2 linked regions of the Arabidopsis thaliana genome follow. The protein of the gene in region 1 interacts with the protein of each later gene in a biochemical or structural test. Each region holds a gene or a part of one and is shown on either strand. Other genes may lie near its edges. The genes, in order: PHR1 and SPX1.

Region 1 (9,497 bases):
AGATTTTGGACAGAGTTTTATATTTAGTACAGCTTTGTCAACATCAATGGTGTTGTGTTCTCAAGGGATTATGAATGGAGAGATGACAGTTGGTGATTTGGTGATGGTGAATGGTCTTCTCTTTCAATTGTCTCTTCCTCTTTACTTTCTCGGTGGTGTTTACCGTGAAACCGTTCAGGGTCTTGTTGATATGAAATCATTGTTCCAGTTGCTAGAGGAGAGATCCGATATTGGAGATAAAGATACAGAGACAAAGCTACCTCCTCTTGTTCTGAGAGGTGGAAGCATCAGTTTTGAGAATGTACATTTTAGTTATCTGCCAGAGAGAAAGATTTTGGATGGGATTTCATTTGAGGTACCGGCAGGGAAAAGTGTAGCGATTGTTGGTAGTAGCGGAAGCGGCAAATCGACGATTCTTAGAATGATTTTCAGGTTCTTTGACACAGATTCTGGTAATGTTAGGATTGATGGTCAAGATATAAAGGAAGTGACACTAGAGAGTCTTCGAAGCTGCATTGGAGTTGTCCCTCAAGATACTGTAAGTTGCCATTTTGACTAGAATTGTTCTCTTACATTTTGTTGTTATTAGTCTAAACCGTGACAAATTAGGTAAAATGTTAGTTATCTACTTAGGGCTTATTGGAAAAATCTATTTAGGGTATTTTAAACTTTTTTGTTATTCAGTCACAATTTCTACATAAATCACATGCAGATGACATTTTACACTCCAAAAGTGATTCTGATTAAACCTGATGATCTTAATTTTCATTTTAATATCAAATCGATTTAATGGTTATAACTTGCATACTTAAAGATAAACTAGACTAATCATAGCCTCAATTGACTCCTGGAATTATGGCAGGTGCTCTTCAATGACACAATATTTCACAACATTCACTATGGAAACCTTTCAGCAACAGAAGAAGAGGTGTACGATGCAGCTAGGCGAGCAGTGATTCACGATACGATCATGAAATTTCCGGATAAATATTCGACCGCGGTGGGAGAAAGAGGGCTGATGCTGAGTGGTGGAGAAAAACAAAGAGTGGCACTTGCTCGTGCCTTTCTGAAATCACCAGCGATTCTCTTGTGTGACGAAGCAACGAATGCGCTTGATAGTAAAACCGAGGCAGAGATAATGAAAACGTTCAGGTCGCTAGCGAGTAACAGAACATGCATTTTCATTGCACATAGGCTGACCACTGCGATGCAATGTGATGAGATAATAGTAATGGAGAAAGGGAAAGTGGTGGAAAAAGGGACACACCAAGTGTTGTTGGAGAAATCTGGCAGATACGCTAAATTATGGACACAACAAAACAGTACACTGGAGGTGTGAATCTCAAGAGCTAGACAGCTAGTGTTTGGGTTCTGTTTTCGCCTCACTAATTCTTTTTTTTTGCTGACTTCCCTTATTTTTGGAATCATATATTTGCAAATATCATTGATGGTACTTTGTAGCCTTGTTACAAAAAATAAAACATATTTGTAACCTTGGGAAAATCATTTATAGTCGTAGAGGTACCAAACCGATTTTTTCAATTACCTTTTGACAAATCAAAAAGTTTCGTTATTCGGTTTTAAAGTAAGCTATTTGTATTACCTTTGGAATCATTGAATTGGATAAAAACCAATAGTCCTTGAAGTATCCGGTTCTCATGCCTAAAACACGTGGCAATCGAACCAGGACCGGTTATCTCCGAGATATCTAATTCATAATCTTATTGTAAACAAAGACTGGGGAGGTTATTAACAAGTTGAGATCTCCAAGCAAGAGGTAATTTTTTAATCTTATTCTTCTTCAGGTGCTATGGTACGAAACTGGATTCAGAAAGAGGTCGAGCAAAAAGTCAAACAGACGACTCTACAGAAATATAAGAAACGAACCAGACGAAACTGTATATGTTAGGACAAGAAGCAATGATGAGAGTTTCTCAACTCCAACTCTGTCGCACTTCTCTTTCGTACCGTCTTCGCTCTGGTTATCATCATCATCATCATCTTCACCACAGTTTCTTCAAGCTCATCAAACGTAACTCAATTCTTGAATCTCCACCTACTAATGCATCTCATCAATCTCCATCCCCGATTACTCCTATGGTCAACGCACGCGTCATGTTCTTCTCCACTTCAACTTCAGCTCCACATCCAGAGAAAATCAACAGGACGTCGTCGGAGAATATCCTTCGGATGATTTCAAGCTATCTATGGATGAAAGACAACCCAAAACTCTGTTTCAGAGTCATCTCTGCTTTTGCGTGTCTCGTGGGAGCTAAGTTCTTGAATGTTCAAGTTCCTTTCCTCTTCAAAGTAGCTATAGATTGGCTCTCTTCATCTTCATTCGTTGATTCAAACCCTTACCTAGTTGCTGCTTTCGCTACTCCTTCCTCTGTTCTCATTGGTTATGGCATTGCTCGATCTGGTTCTTCTGCTTTCAACGAGCTTCGTACTAGTGTTTTCTCCAAAGTAGCTCTCCGCACCATACGAACCATCTCTAGAAAAGTTCTCTCGCGTTTACACGATCTCGATCTTCGTTACCATCTAAATAGAGACACAGGTGCTTTGAACAGAATCATTGATCGTGGAAGCCGCGCTATAAACACGATTCTCTCAGCTATGGTTTTCAACATTATGCCCACGATCTTGGAGATATCAATGGTCTCATGTATATTAGCATACAAATTTGGAGCTGTTTATGCATTGATTACTTGTCTTTCTGTTGGATCATATATAGCATTCACGTTGGCTATGACGCAGTGGAGAATCAAGATTAGAAAAGCTATGAATGAAGCTGAAAACGATGCTAGCACCAGAGCCATTGACTCTCTCATAAACTACGAGACTGTTAAGTATTTCAACAACGAAGATTACGAAGCTCGAAAGTACGATCAGTTACACGAAAATTACGAAGATGCTGCATTGCAAAGTCGGAAAAGCTTTGCCTTATTAAATTTTGGACAGAGTTTTATATTTAGTACAGCTTTGTCAACAGCAATGGTGTTGTGTTCTCAGGGGATTATGAATGGTCAGATGACAGTTGGTGATTTGGTGATGGTGAATGGTCTCCTCTTTCAACTGTCTCTTCCTCTTTACTTTCTCGGGGTTGTTTACAGCGACACCGTTCAGGGACTTGTCGACATGAAATCGATGTTTAAGTTTCTAGAGGAGAGATCTGATATCGGAGATAAAGATATAGACAGGAAGCTCCCTCCTCTTGTTCTGAAAGGTGGAAGCATTAGTTTTGAGAATGTACATTTTAGTTATCTACCGGAGAGAAAGATTTTAGATGGGATTTCATTTGAGGTACCGGCAGGGAAAAGTGTGGCGATTGTCGGTAGTAGCGGAAGCGGAAAATCGACTATTCTTAGAATGATATTCAGGTTCTTTGATGTAGATTCCGGAAATGTAAAAATTGATGGTCAGGATATAAAGGAAGTGAGACTAGAGAGTCTTAGAAGCTCCATTGGAGTTGTCCCTCAAGATACTGTAAGTTGCCATTTTCACTATAAATTTTGCTAGCTCTTACATTTTGTTGTTATGAGTCTAAACCGGTTTTTAGTATGTTAGCATATGGTTACAGATTGGGGTTTGATTATTAGTACTGTATACTCTTTTGTATTACAATCACGTTTACTACATAAATCATGAAGGAAATGATATTGACACTGCAAAATGCTTCTTAATTGTAACTAAAATCTTTATTTTAATATCATGGCCTTTTTCATACGTTTTGGTAGTTTAAAATGTAACATGTCACTTTTCTACAAATTGCATGACTTCAAAGTAACTTCCATATACAAATTTAATATCATTATCAGGCATATATACCAATCATAAATATTCGTATCATTAACCTTAATTCACATGGCAGGTGCTCTTTAACGACACTATATTTCACAACATTCACTATGGAAACCTTTCAGCAACAGAGGAAGAGGTGTACAATGCAGCTCGACGAGCAGCGATTCACGATACGATCATGAAATTCCCTGATAAATATTCGACCGCGGTGGGAGAAAGAGGGCTGATGCTGAGTGGTGGAGAGAAACAGAGGGTGGCACTTGCTCGTGCATTTCTGAAATCACCAGCAATCCTATTGTGTGACGAAGCAACAAGTGCACTCGACAGTAAAACCGAGGCAGAGATAATGAAAACGCTGAGGTCGCTAGCGAGTAACAGGACTTGCATTTTCATTGCACATAGACTGACCACTGCAATGCAATGTGATGAGATATTAGTAATGGAGAAAGGAAAAGTGGTGGAAAAAGGGACACACGAAGTGTTGTTGGGGAAATCTGGCAGATACGCTAAATTATGGACACAACAAAACAGTAAATTGGAGGTGTGAATTTTGTAAAACTATGAATCAAAAAGCCACTTTGGGCCTTTATATAGCCTTTTAAGAGAGTGAAAGAGCAGAAAATATAGACACCAGAAAAAATTTAATAAATAAAAACGAAAAAGATCAAGCCCAATACACGATCCCAATTATCCAATAAACAACGTCCACGTAGATCCCGACAAGCGAGTCATACTCACGCGCTGTTTCACCGAGCGTGAAAAAAACGACGGCTGATCCCTTTGTTTAAGACAGCCACCACCTCCGAAATTAACAAGAAGGCGAAGAAAATCATCACCACCGTCAACTTTTCTCTTGCGGACAAGACGATTCTCCGATTATCCCCAAGAGGAGAATCCTCATAATCATTTTCTCCGATTCGATTCGTCTTCCTTGGTCCTGGATTGCTTCATGAATTTCTAGGTGAGAATTTTCGATCCTTCTCCTTTGCCTTTTGGTAATCCACAGAGAGATAGAGACAGAGAATTTATATCTTTCGAGCATAGTTCGGATTCGATTTGGTTTTGTTTTTCCAGCGAAGTTGATGTTTGGTTGGATAATGATTCTCTCTTGCAGGACAACAATGGAGGCTCGTCCAGTTCATAGATCAGGTTCGAGAGACCTCACACGCACTTCTTCAATCCCATCTACACAAAAACCTTCACCAGTAGAAGATAGTTTCATGAGATCAGATAACAACAGTCAGTTAATGTCTAGACCATTAGGACAAACCTACCATTTACTTTCATCTAGTAACGGTGGAGCTGTTGGACATATATGTTCTTCTTCATCATCTGGTTTTGCAACCAATCTCCATTACTCAACTATGGTATCTCATGAGAAACAACAACACTACACAGGAAGCAGCAGTAATAATGCTGTGCAGACACCAAGCAACAACGATAGTGCTTGGTGTCATGATTCATTGCCAGGAGGGTTTCTTGACTTCCATGAAACCAACCCGGCGATTCAAAACAACTGTCAGATTGAGGATGGTGGCATTGCGGCTGCTTTTGATGACATTCAAAAACGAAGTGATTGGCATGAATGGGCTGACCATTTGATCACTGATGATGATCCTTTGATGTCTACTAACTGGAATGATCTCTTGCTTGAAACAAATTCCAATTCAGATTCAAAGGTTGTTATAGTTTCTTGTTCCAAGTTTTTACTTTGTTTCTATTTGATATCTGTATTCTCAAGTTGTTCAATACTGGACACACTTTTTTAGGACCAGAAGACACTGCAAATTCCGCAACCTCAGATTGTTCAGCAGCAACCTTCTCCGTCTGTGGAATTGCGACCTGTTAGCACAACATCTTCAAACAGCAATAACGGAACGGGCAAGGCACGAATGCGTTGGACGCCAGAGCTTCACGAGGCTTTTGTTGAGGCTGTCAACAGTCTTGGCGGTAGTGAAAGTGAGCATTTATTTCTCTTTGCTTTCCATAAACTTTGAATTGTATATGGAAAGATAATAACTTTTTCTTTATATTTTACTCAGGAGCTACTCCTAAAGGGGTACTGAAGATTATGAAAGTTGAAGGCTTGACTATATATCATGTTAAAAGCCATTTACAGGTTCTTACTATTCTTTAGTTCCCTGCTAATGCATATAATTGTCTTCTAATATTAGATTGTGTTTTTCAGAAATATAGGACAGCTAGATATCGGCCAGAACCATCAGAAACTGGTAAATACCGAACTCATTCCCATCTTCGTTGATGATTTTACCTGAAGAATTCAATGTAAAAACTAAAGTTTCTTTGATCACTACAGGTTCGCCAGAAAGGAAGTTGACACCGCTTGAACATATAACATCTCTTGATTTGAAAGGGTAAGGTTTTCTTGTCGGTTAACATCACAATGCTACACGCTACACCATTTTTAACTGATTCTTACCTCATACATATTTATACTGCAGTGGGATAGGTATTACAGAGGCTCTACGACTTCAGATGGAAGTACAGAAGCAACTCCATGAGCAGCTCGAGGTATGTTCATAAAGGCATTGCCATTAGCTTTGGTTTTTTATACTTATGTGTTTGGATTGTAGCTGCTAAAGAGAAAATGTGAAACCTGTTTATAAAGTATTCTGAATTTGGGTATGACATGTGTTCTTTTCCTTTGCCTGCAGATTCAAAGAAACCTGCAACTCCGAATAGAAGAACAAGGCAAGTACCTGCAAATGATGTTCGAGAAGCAAAACTCTGGTCTTACCAAAGGGACAGCCTCAACATCAGATTCCGCAGCCAAATCTGAACAAGAAGACAAGAAGACTGCTGATTCGAAGGAGGTTCCAGAAGAAGAAACCAGGAAATGTGAGGAACTAGAATCTCCACAGCCAAAGCGTCCCAAAATCGATAATTGAAAGTATTGGTCTTTTGCTGGATAATCTCGGAGTTTCAGAGTTAACAGTGATAGAGAGAACGAGCTCTTATCTTGAGGTTCTTCAGGACTTCTCTCTTTACTGTTTAACTATTTTTCTGATGGAAGACTCTCAACTCAGCTGTGTAGACAAACAACAGATCCCCAAGGAAGAAACAAAACAAAAATAAAAAGTTAGTTTGGGAGAATCTTCATCATTCAGTGTAATCTAAATGCTTAACTCATCATTAGTTTTACAGCTACAGATTTCTTATGTTAATCTTTTTTAGAATATCAAACCTGAAAAGTTTTCTCCGAAAAATTTATAATCTTTTATGAGTAAATAGTAAACCTGGCTTATAAAATTTACCTCACCAAAACCTATATTAATTTTTGTTTAACTGTGTATTACAAAATGTTTATAAACTTGACATCAAATGATATACTCGTACACATACATCTTTATATCTTCTTATATTCATCTATCAAAAACAAACACAAAAAAAAAGAATCAGAAAAGGAGAAATCATAACCAAAGACAAAAAAAATATGATTTGAGAGGGCAAAATCATCTGAATGGCTCCACTGGCATTGTTTCCTCCAAAGTAACGGCGGCTTGAAAACACTCAACGGCTTCTTGCATCGACGAGACGGACCCTTCAGCTTTGAACATCTTTCCAAGATTGTACCAAGCCGAGTGGTTCAGCCTATCAATCCTAAGAGCCTCCATTAGAAAGCTTCTAACAACCGCTATGCCTGATCGGTTACCGACCTCCAGCAGTATCTCAGCCTTCGATGTTAAGCTTGGGACGTGCATCGGATCTATGTCAAGAGCGGTTGTGAACGCCTCCATTGCTTCTTCTAATTGCCCCCGTCTATTGTACAGTACACCTGCCAATCGGTACGAATAAGCTATCAATATTACCGCCTTGCTTGTTTCAAAAAGACAAACAAACACTCCAAGTCTAAATGGAAGTAGAGAAGAAGGTAATACCTTCAATGTGGTATCTAACAGAAGAGTAAGGTGCAATGAGTCTTGATCTCGAGAGACATGACTCTGCGTCACGCCATTGCGAGAGGTTTATGTAAATATGAGCCAGATCGTGCCACGTCCCAAGCTCCAGACTCATCAATTCCTTTACATATCCCTGTAATGAATAAATCTGTTTCAGTGTTAATTCTGCACAACTCACAACTTTGGTAGAGAAATCAGAACATACGAAAATGTTACCTTAGGCAGCTTCTTTGCAGAATTGAAGCTTTTGCTTTGAACCTGAAGGAGTGCTAGAAGTTGTGTGTAAGTCTTAATCGCATCTTTCACTTCTCCTTTAGCTAAACGAAGCTTTGCCTTCAAACGTAACAGCTTCCCCTGTTCCCATTTCCCTGTCTCGTTAAGCGCTGCATCCACAATGGTCTCCGCGTCTGAAAACCGCTTCTGTGCAGATAAAACCCGAGCCAAAAGTAACCATACTTCAAGATCAGACTCTGCTCCAAGTTTCAACGCCTCTTTAGCATATGCTAATGCAGAATCCAGTTTCCTCTGTTCTGCATTCTCCAACGCAAGACGGTGCACAACCCTCGGGTTTGTCATATCTGCAGATTCCAGGGCCTGAATCCCCTCGGATTGCCTAGCTATCCTCTCAGTCTCTGTAACAGCCATTCTAGAGCTTTCCGTGAGCGTGATCCCTAAAACGAAACGCGCTGCTCCATCTAATTGACTGCATTCCTTCCCCAAGTTTCCGATAGCTTTCCGGGCATAATCTAACCCTTCCTCAGCAAGACCAGACCTCTCACCGCATATTTTGGAAGCCATCAGCAAACCCGAAGTCCTGTTTGGATCCTCTCGTTCTGAAAATAGCTTCCTCAGTAAACCTAACGCAACAAGACCTTCTCCTGCACCTTGGTAACACAAAGACAATGTATGATAAAGTTCCCTCTGATCCAAGAGCTCAGGACTAAGCTCTTCAAACTGCTTAGCCAGAGCGGTTAGATCGCCTGCGATTGTAAGAGCGAACGAGAGATGGTCCAAGATTGCCGCATCCCATGAGATTCTTTTCAGATTAACTTTCCTGAGAAGTAACATCAGAAGAAGAATAGCTTCTTCCACATTGTTCCTCGGAATGAATGAGCCCTCAGTCTGAGAACGTAGGTTTGGCGGCACTGCTTCTTCCCCGGAATAGAGGAGAAACACTGCGTACTCTTTCTGTATCCTCGCCGTGGTTTCTGGATCGAGTTTCCAGTGATTGAGAAGCGCTCTTCTATACGACAAAATAGCATCACGAGGTGAATCAGCAAGCTTCCACAACTCAGGAAGCAGCTCAACCGCTTTTGTCAGTGTCTCCTGCAACTTAATATCTCCAGTCACATTATCCGACGCACCTTCTGCTAAAGAAGTCTCGACTATATCAAGAATAACTCTGCAAGACTCCGCAGCTTCTGCAAGAAGAAGCACATGATATTTCTGTTTAGCCAAAAACAAAACCAAACACGGATTAAGAGAAATGACTGTTACTACCTTGGAACCTTCCAAGACGCTGGAGAGACTTGGCTTTGAGAAAAATAGCTTCGAAAAGTAAACTAACAGCATGTTTAGACATGGCAGGTGAAGGAGCAGTAGAAAAGCCGCCTTTAGACCGTCTTCTATGTTTCCGGTCTTCTCTAACGGTTAGAGCGGTTTTCATCTTTACTGTGATACCATTGATATCTATCCCTTCAAAGACTCGCAATGCCGCCTCTATATTTCCTTTCTGATACTCAATTCTTCCCAAAAGCGCTCTCGCCTCCTGAAACA
Region 2 (8,346 bases), on another chromosome or scaffold:
TAAAAACATTGTGTTGAACAATATTTCTTTGCATGTGTTCTATAGAAAGTAGTGATAGGCTTTCTAGGAGCAAGAACTCGTTACTAATCAATGCAGCTACTAACAATTGTACTATAAATTCAACTCATGAATACCAGATTCTAATGCTTTAAAACCCATGGTCGATCTCCTATTTAAGCATATGCATGATGGCATATAGTTAAGTCTATATCCTCCTACTTTTACTGCCATTTGTTTTCCATCGCCGAACATTCTGTTGCTTAACTTTGCTTTGTCATCACTTGTACCAGGTGAGCGTTTGAGCCCTTGGGTCTCCGCTGGATGCTTCATGATGGGTGTGTCGATCATTTTCTTTTGAGTGTCAACTTCTTACATATCCAGTTCTTGTAGATTTTTACTTCTTTGGGATGCTCATTTTTCTGTATGCAAAAGATTCCAAGGGGTTGTTGATGAAACTGAAAGAGTAGAATATTATCCTCTTTGGATTATGGATATGGTCTTGTATTTGGAACAAATTGTGTCTGTTATTTTAATGTGGAGACAAGTCCATAAAGCTCAACCATAGAAATTAGTAGAGCATAAGACACCAGAACCAGCTAATAAAACGCATCTTTGTCGTAAAGGAAGAGAGTAATCACATACGTAACTTCAAGTTTACTAATTTCATTGAACTAATGAGAGCATCAGTTAATAAAAGTTTGTTGTGTGTGTGGTAGCTGTAAAATTATCAGTCAATTTGGATAATCGATCAGTTTTATGCGAGCAAAAAGAACAAAGGTGAAGTCATGGTTACCCTTTTGGGCTTTAATCAAAATTTCGCCGACAAAAGAAGAAACTAAAAAACCAAACTCCCAAAGTCAAAACTAGTTCTGTCGGTTAAGGTTAGTTCACATGGGCCGAAGTATATCATCACCCAGGCCCATTAAAAAGATGTATAAAATCGACAAGCATATAAGTAACAGCGTAAGCCTAAGTTATCATTCAGAATATTCAAGCTGAGAAAGTCGTAGCCTCTAAAACCCTAATCCTCTCTGAAACCCTAGACATCGCAGCTGAAAATGGTACTTCTCTCTTCCTCTTTCTTCTTTTCGGTATTATCTTGCAGTGTTTTCGAAGGAATCTTACTCTTTGATTGTCTGATTTGGGTTTTAATTTGTTTTTGTTTTCGTTTCTTCTTGCAGACCGGAGAAGTCGTCAACCCTAAAGCGTATCCGCTTGCAGATTCTCAGTTATCGATAACAATTCTTGACCTCGTTCAACAAGCTACTAACTACAAGCAGCTCAAGAAGGGTGCTAATGAAGGTATCCGCTTGTTACTCATGTGTGTTTGTCTCTCTTATTTATTGAGTTTAATGTTTGTGAAGTTGTTCCTGATTTATTTAAATTTGTTCATTTCAGCTACGAAGACTCTTAATCGTGGAATCTCCGAGTTTGTTGTCATGGCTGCAGATGCTGAGCCTCTAGAGATTCTTCTTCATCTTCCCCTACTTGCTGAGGATAAGGTTTGACTTCTTCTTTCTCTGGGTTTCTCTTTTATTATACACCAGTTTATTTAGCAAATGAGATATTTGTTTCCTTAGTTCATAGAAGAGAATTAAGTTTACTTGCTGAGGATATAGTTTGATTAGTTTGTGCCAATGTTCAGCCAAGTTTTGTATATCATTTTGTTAACTAAACTCTGATTTCATACTTGTTGGAGTTTAAAATGACAGCTTTATGATTGTCTTTTATGATTTTGTTTAGCTTGTATGTTTTTGATTCTGTAATGCTTTGTTGTTCTTATATACTAGTTTTCTATATTCTTACTTTCTTTGTGAATGTTTTGTAGAATGTTCCTTATGTCTTTGTGCCTTCAAAGCAAGCCTTGGGAAGAGCCTGTGGTGTGACTAGACCTGTTATCGCTTGTTCAGTCACATCTAACGAAGCTAGTCAATTGAAATCACAGATTCAACATCTCAAGGTAACTTAGCCCTCACTTGTGTACTCTCTTTATAACCTTGAACCATCATTGATTCCACAGAATTGGTTAATCATTAACTCTTTTTTTACATTTCTTCAGGATGCTATTGAGAAGCTTCTGATCTAAGGCATTCTCTGAATTGATTGCTCGGTATGATGGGTCTCCGCGAATGGGAAGGCTTTGACTGAAGTTTTGTTTAGGCAACTACCAAATCAAAAACCGTCCATTATTCTACTATCTTCTCTTCAAGTTTGTAACGTAATTCACTTTTCTGCAACTTGGTTTCTTAAGAATTTGTGTTGGTTTCTGGTTTTGGTTTGTAGCGAATCATTGTGTTATTTATAAGAACTTGTTTTGATATCTATCACAAAACGAACAAAAAAATTGAAATAAAAATTGAAGGACTTGAATTGAGATTGAATACGAAATCAATTGGTCTGTTGCATTATGCAAAGTCTTACCTTGAATTGAGATCGAGTCACTAGTATCATTTGCAGTCATCATTTCTTCTTGAAGAGGATTATGAACTTGTATATGTAGTAGTAGAGAACTTGAAATATCTAGCATATGACTTTGGAAAAGAAGAAATCAATAATTAATCTGAAGTGGTATATATTACATCAACTACAACACACCCAACACAGAAACAAAGTTACATTGCAGTTTTGTGTAACCTAAGGACTTATGACCGACCAAAGATGATATCCAGAAACATGATCCTATAGTTTCTTCTGCCTTTTTGTGTACATTGATGATAATGTCTTGTTTAATCTGTTAGCTTCTTCTATTGTATAAAAAAGTGGAATAGAGCGAGTGTGCCTCTGTCTCACTCTCTATTTGGCTTCTTGCTCCAACAATGGAATCTTCTTCCATGTCTCATCTAAGCCATTTAACTGTAGAGGCGGCAATGAAAACACACTAACAGTAGAACTTCCACTCCTGATCTCCTTCAAAACCCGCAAGGCAGCGATTGTGCTCTTCATATGAAGACTCTCCATGAACTTATGCTCTGATAACTCTGCTTGGATAATCTCAGACTCAGTTTCGTTAGCAGGGAAGATCTGATCAAGCATTGCCTCAGATTCCTTGACAAGCTTGAACAATAAGTCAGTAGTGTAAAAAGGTTGCTGAAGAACTTTCTGGATGAAAGGTAAACGCATGAGATCACCAGTTCTTTTGTCATACTTCTTCAGTATCTTAACCAATCCTGTTGTTTCAACAAACCATTCATCAACGTTTTGTTCTACTACTAATAATAAGATTAAGTCTTAATGAGGCAATTAAATTAAATTACCAGTGTAATTAAGAGCACTGTAATTCTCAAGAAGAACCATTTCTCCATGGAAATCAACAATCTCCTTCCTGATTTTTATCATCTTCTCCATTGAATCCTTAGCTTTCGCAATTCTATCTCTAAATTCCTGTTTTTGTACAGACAGAGACACATTAGAAAAAGAGATGATCATTTTTAGGAATCGGATTCGAAATGTTGTTTATATTACCTTTAGTCTGATGATATATTCTTCTTCCTTCTCAACGAAGAAATTGTTGAATTTCTCCAACTCGTCTTCTAACAATTGGATGAAATTGATCTCTTCTTTCGATATTCCGACGGAAAACTCATCTAAACGGAGTCGTTTAACGGGACGATCGGCGGTTTTGGAACCGATGAGTTTGAGTCGTTTTTTGAGTTCTTTGTAAGACAAGAACTTGTCTTGCCATTCAGGAAGAGTTTGCTCGATCTGATTGCTGAGACTCTTACCAAACTTCATAGCTCTTTTATTTTCTGGGAAACTTAAGTGAGAATGATGAATGAAGAAGAAAGAGAGGGGGAAGAGGTTTAGAGATATAAAAGGGATTAAAAAGAATATTCTTAAGGTTTCTAATTAGAATATCCTTTTTTCTCTGTCTTTCTTTCGGGAGAATATCTTCCTTTTATTCCTTTCTTATTTATTACTTTTTCGTGGTTATCTGTGGGTGAGATTATAACACATGCCTATGTCAGTTCATAAATATCAATCACAACTCACATGCCAATTTATTTATCCAATACTTATTATTACAGATTTGCTGTCCAAAAAAAGAAAAATAATATTACAGATTTTATATCCATTTATCTGATTCATTTTTTTCTAAATTCGTATGGGTATCGTACTAATATCTTGATTCATTTTCTTTAGAGTTTGTACTGTATTCATCTGATATTTAAATATTTTACGATATTAGATTTCCTTATTTGGTATTGTCTATATATGTTCATGATATCTTCATAACTATGTACAGTATGTATTAAATCATCTTTTTAAAAATATATGTCTATTTATACATGCAGATACACTATGTAGTAGTGATTTTTTATTTTTTTTGCATTTTTAGATTTAATCAAAAACGAATTGCAAAGTAAAAAAAATGAATATTGGATATAGTATTTACAGTTACAGATATCCTCAAATCCAGCTCAGATTGTCGTCATGACATAAATACGTGGACGTTTGGTCTTCATGATCATATCTGTCTCTCCATGATGATGGCATGATCAATAAATAGTAGTTCAATACTACAACTAGTTTGACAATTTACCCACTTTTGATTTTCTGAAAAGATTTAACAAATACGCAAATGGGTCAAAAGTAGTTGGATTCCATGGAATATTCTTGATAGGAAAAGGGTATAAACCTCGGCATCTTTCAATCTTTCTTTAAAGCACCCCCCAATGGACAATTTATTGAATTTTCCCGATTCGCGTCTTAATTCATTCACATTTGCTCATTATTAGCTTCTGATTTTGACATTTAGGATAAACCACCGGTCCATTTGACATTGTCTATATGCAGCAAATTCTGCTGATTTTACAACTTGTCAATTTATATTTATTAAGAAGACTATCAGTTTATTAGTCAAACAACCAAAGTCCAAATCCTTATGACATGGTCGTCGTATTCTTTACAATCTTTGACGGATAAACTAAAACAATATTTACTTTGCCGTATAATCGAAACTTTCGTGTCTCTGTCTCATTTCTGGGTACGTATGTAATTAATGTATGCAAGCAAAGTAATCCATTGTTGGAGTTAAGTTCCCTCCAGTAGCCCAAATGGAATGGGCCTCGTTAAGTCAAAGTTCCATAATGAAAAAAGCCTAAAGAGTGAAAAAAAAATCTGAATTTTAACCGAAACAAATTTAGTTTGGTTCGTAAATAAAACCAGAACCAAACCGAACCGACAGTACCAAAAAAGAACCGATTGTTAAATGAAAGCGAACAACCACAAGAAATAAAATAGAGCAGAAAACTTTTTTATCAACGATCAATGGCTACCGTTAATCAGCAGCTTTACCGGCCAATACTCACCGCCGTCGGAAGTGACTGCCGGCGGCATGTAACCACCCGTTTCCTCCCTGTTCCGAGACGCAACGTAACCACTCGTCTACGGCCAATTTTGAGTCTTGAGGTGGGCAAGGAAGTGGCTTCAGCACCGTCGACAGTGAACATGGAAGAGCTCGTCGGATTCTTGTACGAGGATCTTCCTCACCTTTTCGACGACCAAGGAATCGATAAAACGGCGTACGATGAGCGCGTGAAGTTCAGAGACCCAATCACTAAGCACGACACCATCTCTGGCTATCTCTTCAACATTGCTTTCCTCAAGAATATCTTCACTCCTCAGTTTCAGCTTCACTGGGCTAAACAGGTCTTTGCTAACTTTTGTTTATCATTTGATTTCTTTAATTCTAGTTTTTTTTAAGTTCACTGATGCAGCTGATATATAGACAGGTCCATATGAGATCACTACGAGATGGACAATGGTGATGAAGTTCATACCTTTACCATGGAAACCAGAACTTGTCTTCACTGGATTATCAATCATGGAAGTTAATCCTGAAACTAACAAATTTTGTAGTCATCTGGTATGTATGGTTGCCATGTCCTTCTTCCAAAATCTATTGTGGTATGGTCTACTTATTACAAGTAGATGTTGTGCAGGACTTGTGGGATTCTATCAAGAACAATGACTACTTTTCTCTTGAAGGTCTTGTTGATGTTTTTAAGCAGGTTGCTTTCTTGGCATTTGGCATGAATTGAGCCCCCTTAGAAATGGTTAATCATATCTTACAAGTACTACCTTTTTTTGCAGTTACGGATATATAAAACGCCAGACTTGGAAACTCCAAAGTATCAAATACTGAAAAGAACAGCAAACTATGAGGTCACATATCTTCATGTATTGGCTTAATGGAACCAACTATGCAAATGTGGTTGCTTGCCTTAAGTTGGATTTGATTGTTTGGCAGGTTAGAAACTATGAGCCCTTCATTGTGGTGGAGACAATTGGTGACAAGCTTTCTGGTTCTTCAGGTTTCAACAATGTTGCTGGGTGAGGGTTAAGTCTAAGTTTCTGTGAGTGTCCATAAATTCTTCTGGCATCTTGTTTTATTTTGATAAATGTAACACATGCTAGCTTTTTTACCTATGAAGCTACATATTTGGAAAGAACTCGACCATGGAGAAAATACCAATGACAACTCCAGTGTTTACTCAAACAACAGATACTCAACTCTCTTCTGATGTCTCTGTACAAATTGTTATTCCATCAGGAAAAGATCTTAGCAGGTAAAGCCTTATCATGGATAGTTTTTTAGTTGACATCAGATATGGTTAATGAGAATCATTGTGTGATGAGAATGGTTTTGCTTTCCTTTTTCCTCTAGCTTACCAATGCCTAATGAAGAAAAGGTAAATTTGAAGAAGTTGGAAGGCGGTTTTGCTGCAGCAGTGAAATTCAGTGGTAAACCGACAGAGGATGTTGTCCAAGCAAAAGAGAATGAACTGAGGAGCAGTCTGAGTAAAGATGGTCTGAGAGCTAAGAAAGGTTGTATGCTTGCTCGTTACAACGATCCAGGACGAACATGGAACTTCATAATGGTATGATTCCAAGCTTTAGCAATATTTGATGTCTAGTTAGAAACCATCTATTAGTCTTATTTCTTTTAATTATTATCATCATGACATACCCAAATGATGGTTTGATCATTGTCTTCAGTCGCAGGTTCTATCATTTTCGTCTGATTCGTGGCTCTCATCTGTTCTTTGTGATTGTCTTGCATTTGCAGAGGAACGAAGTTATCATATGGCTTGAAGATTTCAGTCTGGATTAGCTAGAGCTTGGCCAAATGTTACCATAAGACGTATGTAGAGGTTCCATCTACTTTATAATTTTAAGATTGCGACGACAGAAAAGCTGTATAGACACAAACCTACAGGCTACAACATTAAGCTTGCTCATTATTTGTGGACAAGCATTTATCTATGAGACATATTTGCTCTCCTCTTGATGTTAAAAAAATGGATGATGGAAGTTACAAACAGAGTCACTCTTTCTTGTTCACAGAAAATACCTATCCTCCATTACAAAACTGAAAAGGTCGATTGCATATTATCTCATCTTGATGTTACAAAAACACCCAAAGTCATTCTTCTTGAGTCAGCTTTAAGAATTGTGTTTCAGTCACTTCCCCATTTCCGGACAACGCTCTCTTTAGCAGTGGAACCTTCCTTCTTCCACATCTCCTCTGAGTTGTCACCACTCACTTTGGAAGCTTCTCTTCCCATGAGTTTGGAGCTTAGAGAAGACAAACCTTCCCGTGTTCCTCGCAACGCATACAACAACGGGTTTAACACAAATGCAGCCATGACTTCACCTTTCGCAACCACCATATACTGCAGCAACCATTAAACAATTCAAAACCATCAACAACAAAAAGTCTTATTCATGAAAGACCAAATACATTTACTTAAAGCATACCACGGCAAGTATTGCTAAGAGGGTAAAGGCAATCTGTTGTGCCTCTTTCCAGAAATGGTCGCCACTAAACCAACCACCACCTCCAAACCAACCTCCTCCTCCTCCACCTTTACCACCATTTCCGCCACCGGATTCTTCTCTTTTCTTGATCTCTTTGTCCCACTTCTCAAACTCATTCTTCTTCCCACCAAGAGCGCTTTCCAATGATTTACGAGCTTGCTCCTGCACAATCAAGGAAATCGAACGGCAGAGTATTAGCCACCAAATCATGAAGCTACCTCTTATCTGTCTCTCTTTAGTTTTGTCGCTCTGTCATAAAACTTTTCATTCAGAGAGATAGAAAGTGTGGGTTTTTGTACTTCCTGGAATGAAGTTATTGCTAACCAACTGCTATTCTCATACGAATTCACCAAACCAGAGAGAGTTGATTAAAGAGGAACTTGAAACTCTCAGCCAAATGGCCAATCAACACAAACTTATGAAACTCCTACTCTCGAATCTAACTCACAGCGGATCTAATCTGCTACACCCAGTCCTAGACTAGATACAGTAGACATATAGCTAAGAGTTGAGCTGCTAAACTTG

Evidence for each region.
Region 2: the proteins of PHR1 (region 1) and SPX1 form a complex in vitro, tested with the Arabidopsis thaliana proteins (one study listed by BioGRID).

Annotation. Positions count from the first base shown.
Region 1 is NC_003075.7:14,130,377-14,139,873, reverse strand, and holds PHR1 (phosphate starvation response 1), read left to right. Parts: upstream 1-4,581; 5' UTR 4,582-4,762; intron 4,763-4,915; 5' UTR 4,916-4,922; coding exon 4,923-5,480; intron 5,481-5,570; coding exon 5,571-5,760; intron 5,761-5,843; coding exon 5,844-5,920; intron 5,921-5,989; coding exon 5,990-6,032; intron 6,033-6,118; coding exon 6,119-6,176; intron 6,177-6,263; coding exon 6,264-6,333; intron 6,334-6,476; coding exon 6,477-6,710; 3' UTR 6,711-7,063; downstream 7,064-9,497. Other genes in the region: ABCB23 (ABC transporter of the mitochondrion 1), read left to right, coding at 1-538, 863-1,339; ABCB24 (ABC transporter of the mitochondrion 2), read left to right, coding at 1,921-3,486, 3,872-4,348; NPGR2 (no pollen germination related 2), read right to left, coding at 7,275-7,597, 7,701-7,869, 7,938-9,142, 9,222-9,489. UniProt on the Arabidopsis thaliana protein: Transcription factor involved in phosphate starvation signaling. Binds as a dimer to P1BS, an imperfect palindromic sequence 5'-GNATATNC-3', to promote the expression of inorganic phosphate (Pi) starvation-responsive genes.
Region 2 is NC_003076.8:6,797,815-6,806,160, reverse strand, and holds SPX1 (SPX domain-containing protein 1), read right to left. Parts: upstream 3,880-8,346; 5' UTR 3,733-3,879; coding exon 3,463-3,732; intron 3,382-3,462; coding exon 3,255-3,381; intron 3,168-3,254; coding exon 2,794-3,167; 3' UTR 2,506-2,793; downstream 1-2,505. Other genes in the region: AT5G20165 (kish-A-like protein), read left to right, coding at 138-199; AT5G20160 (Ribosomal protein L7Ae/L30e/S12e/Gadd45 family protein), read left to right, coding at 1,059-1,061, 1,182-1,502, 1,829-1,960, 2,060-2,086; HBP5 (SOUL heme-binding family protein), read left to right, coding at 5,269-5,649, 5,729-5,866, 5,943-6,011, 6,094-6,165, 6,251-6,333, 6,435-6,569, 6,668-6,881, 7,000-7,095; AT5G20130 (sulfate adenylyltransferase subunit), read right to left, coding at 7,461-7,676, 7,762-7,983. UniProt on the Arabidopsis thaliana protein: Plays a positive role in plant adaptation to phosphate starvation. Inhibits PHR1 DNA-binding activity in a Pi-dependent manner.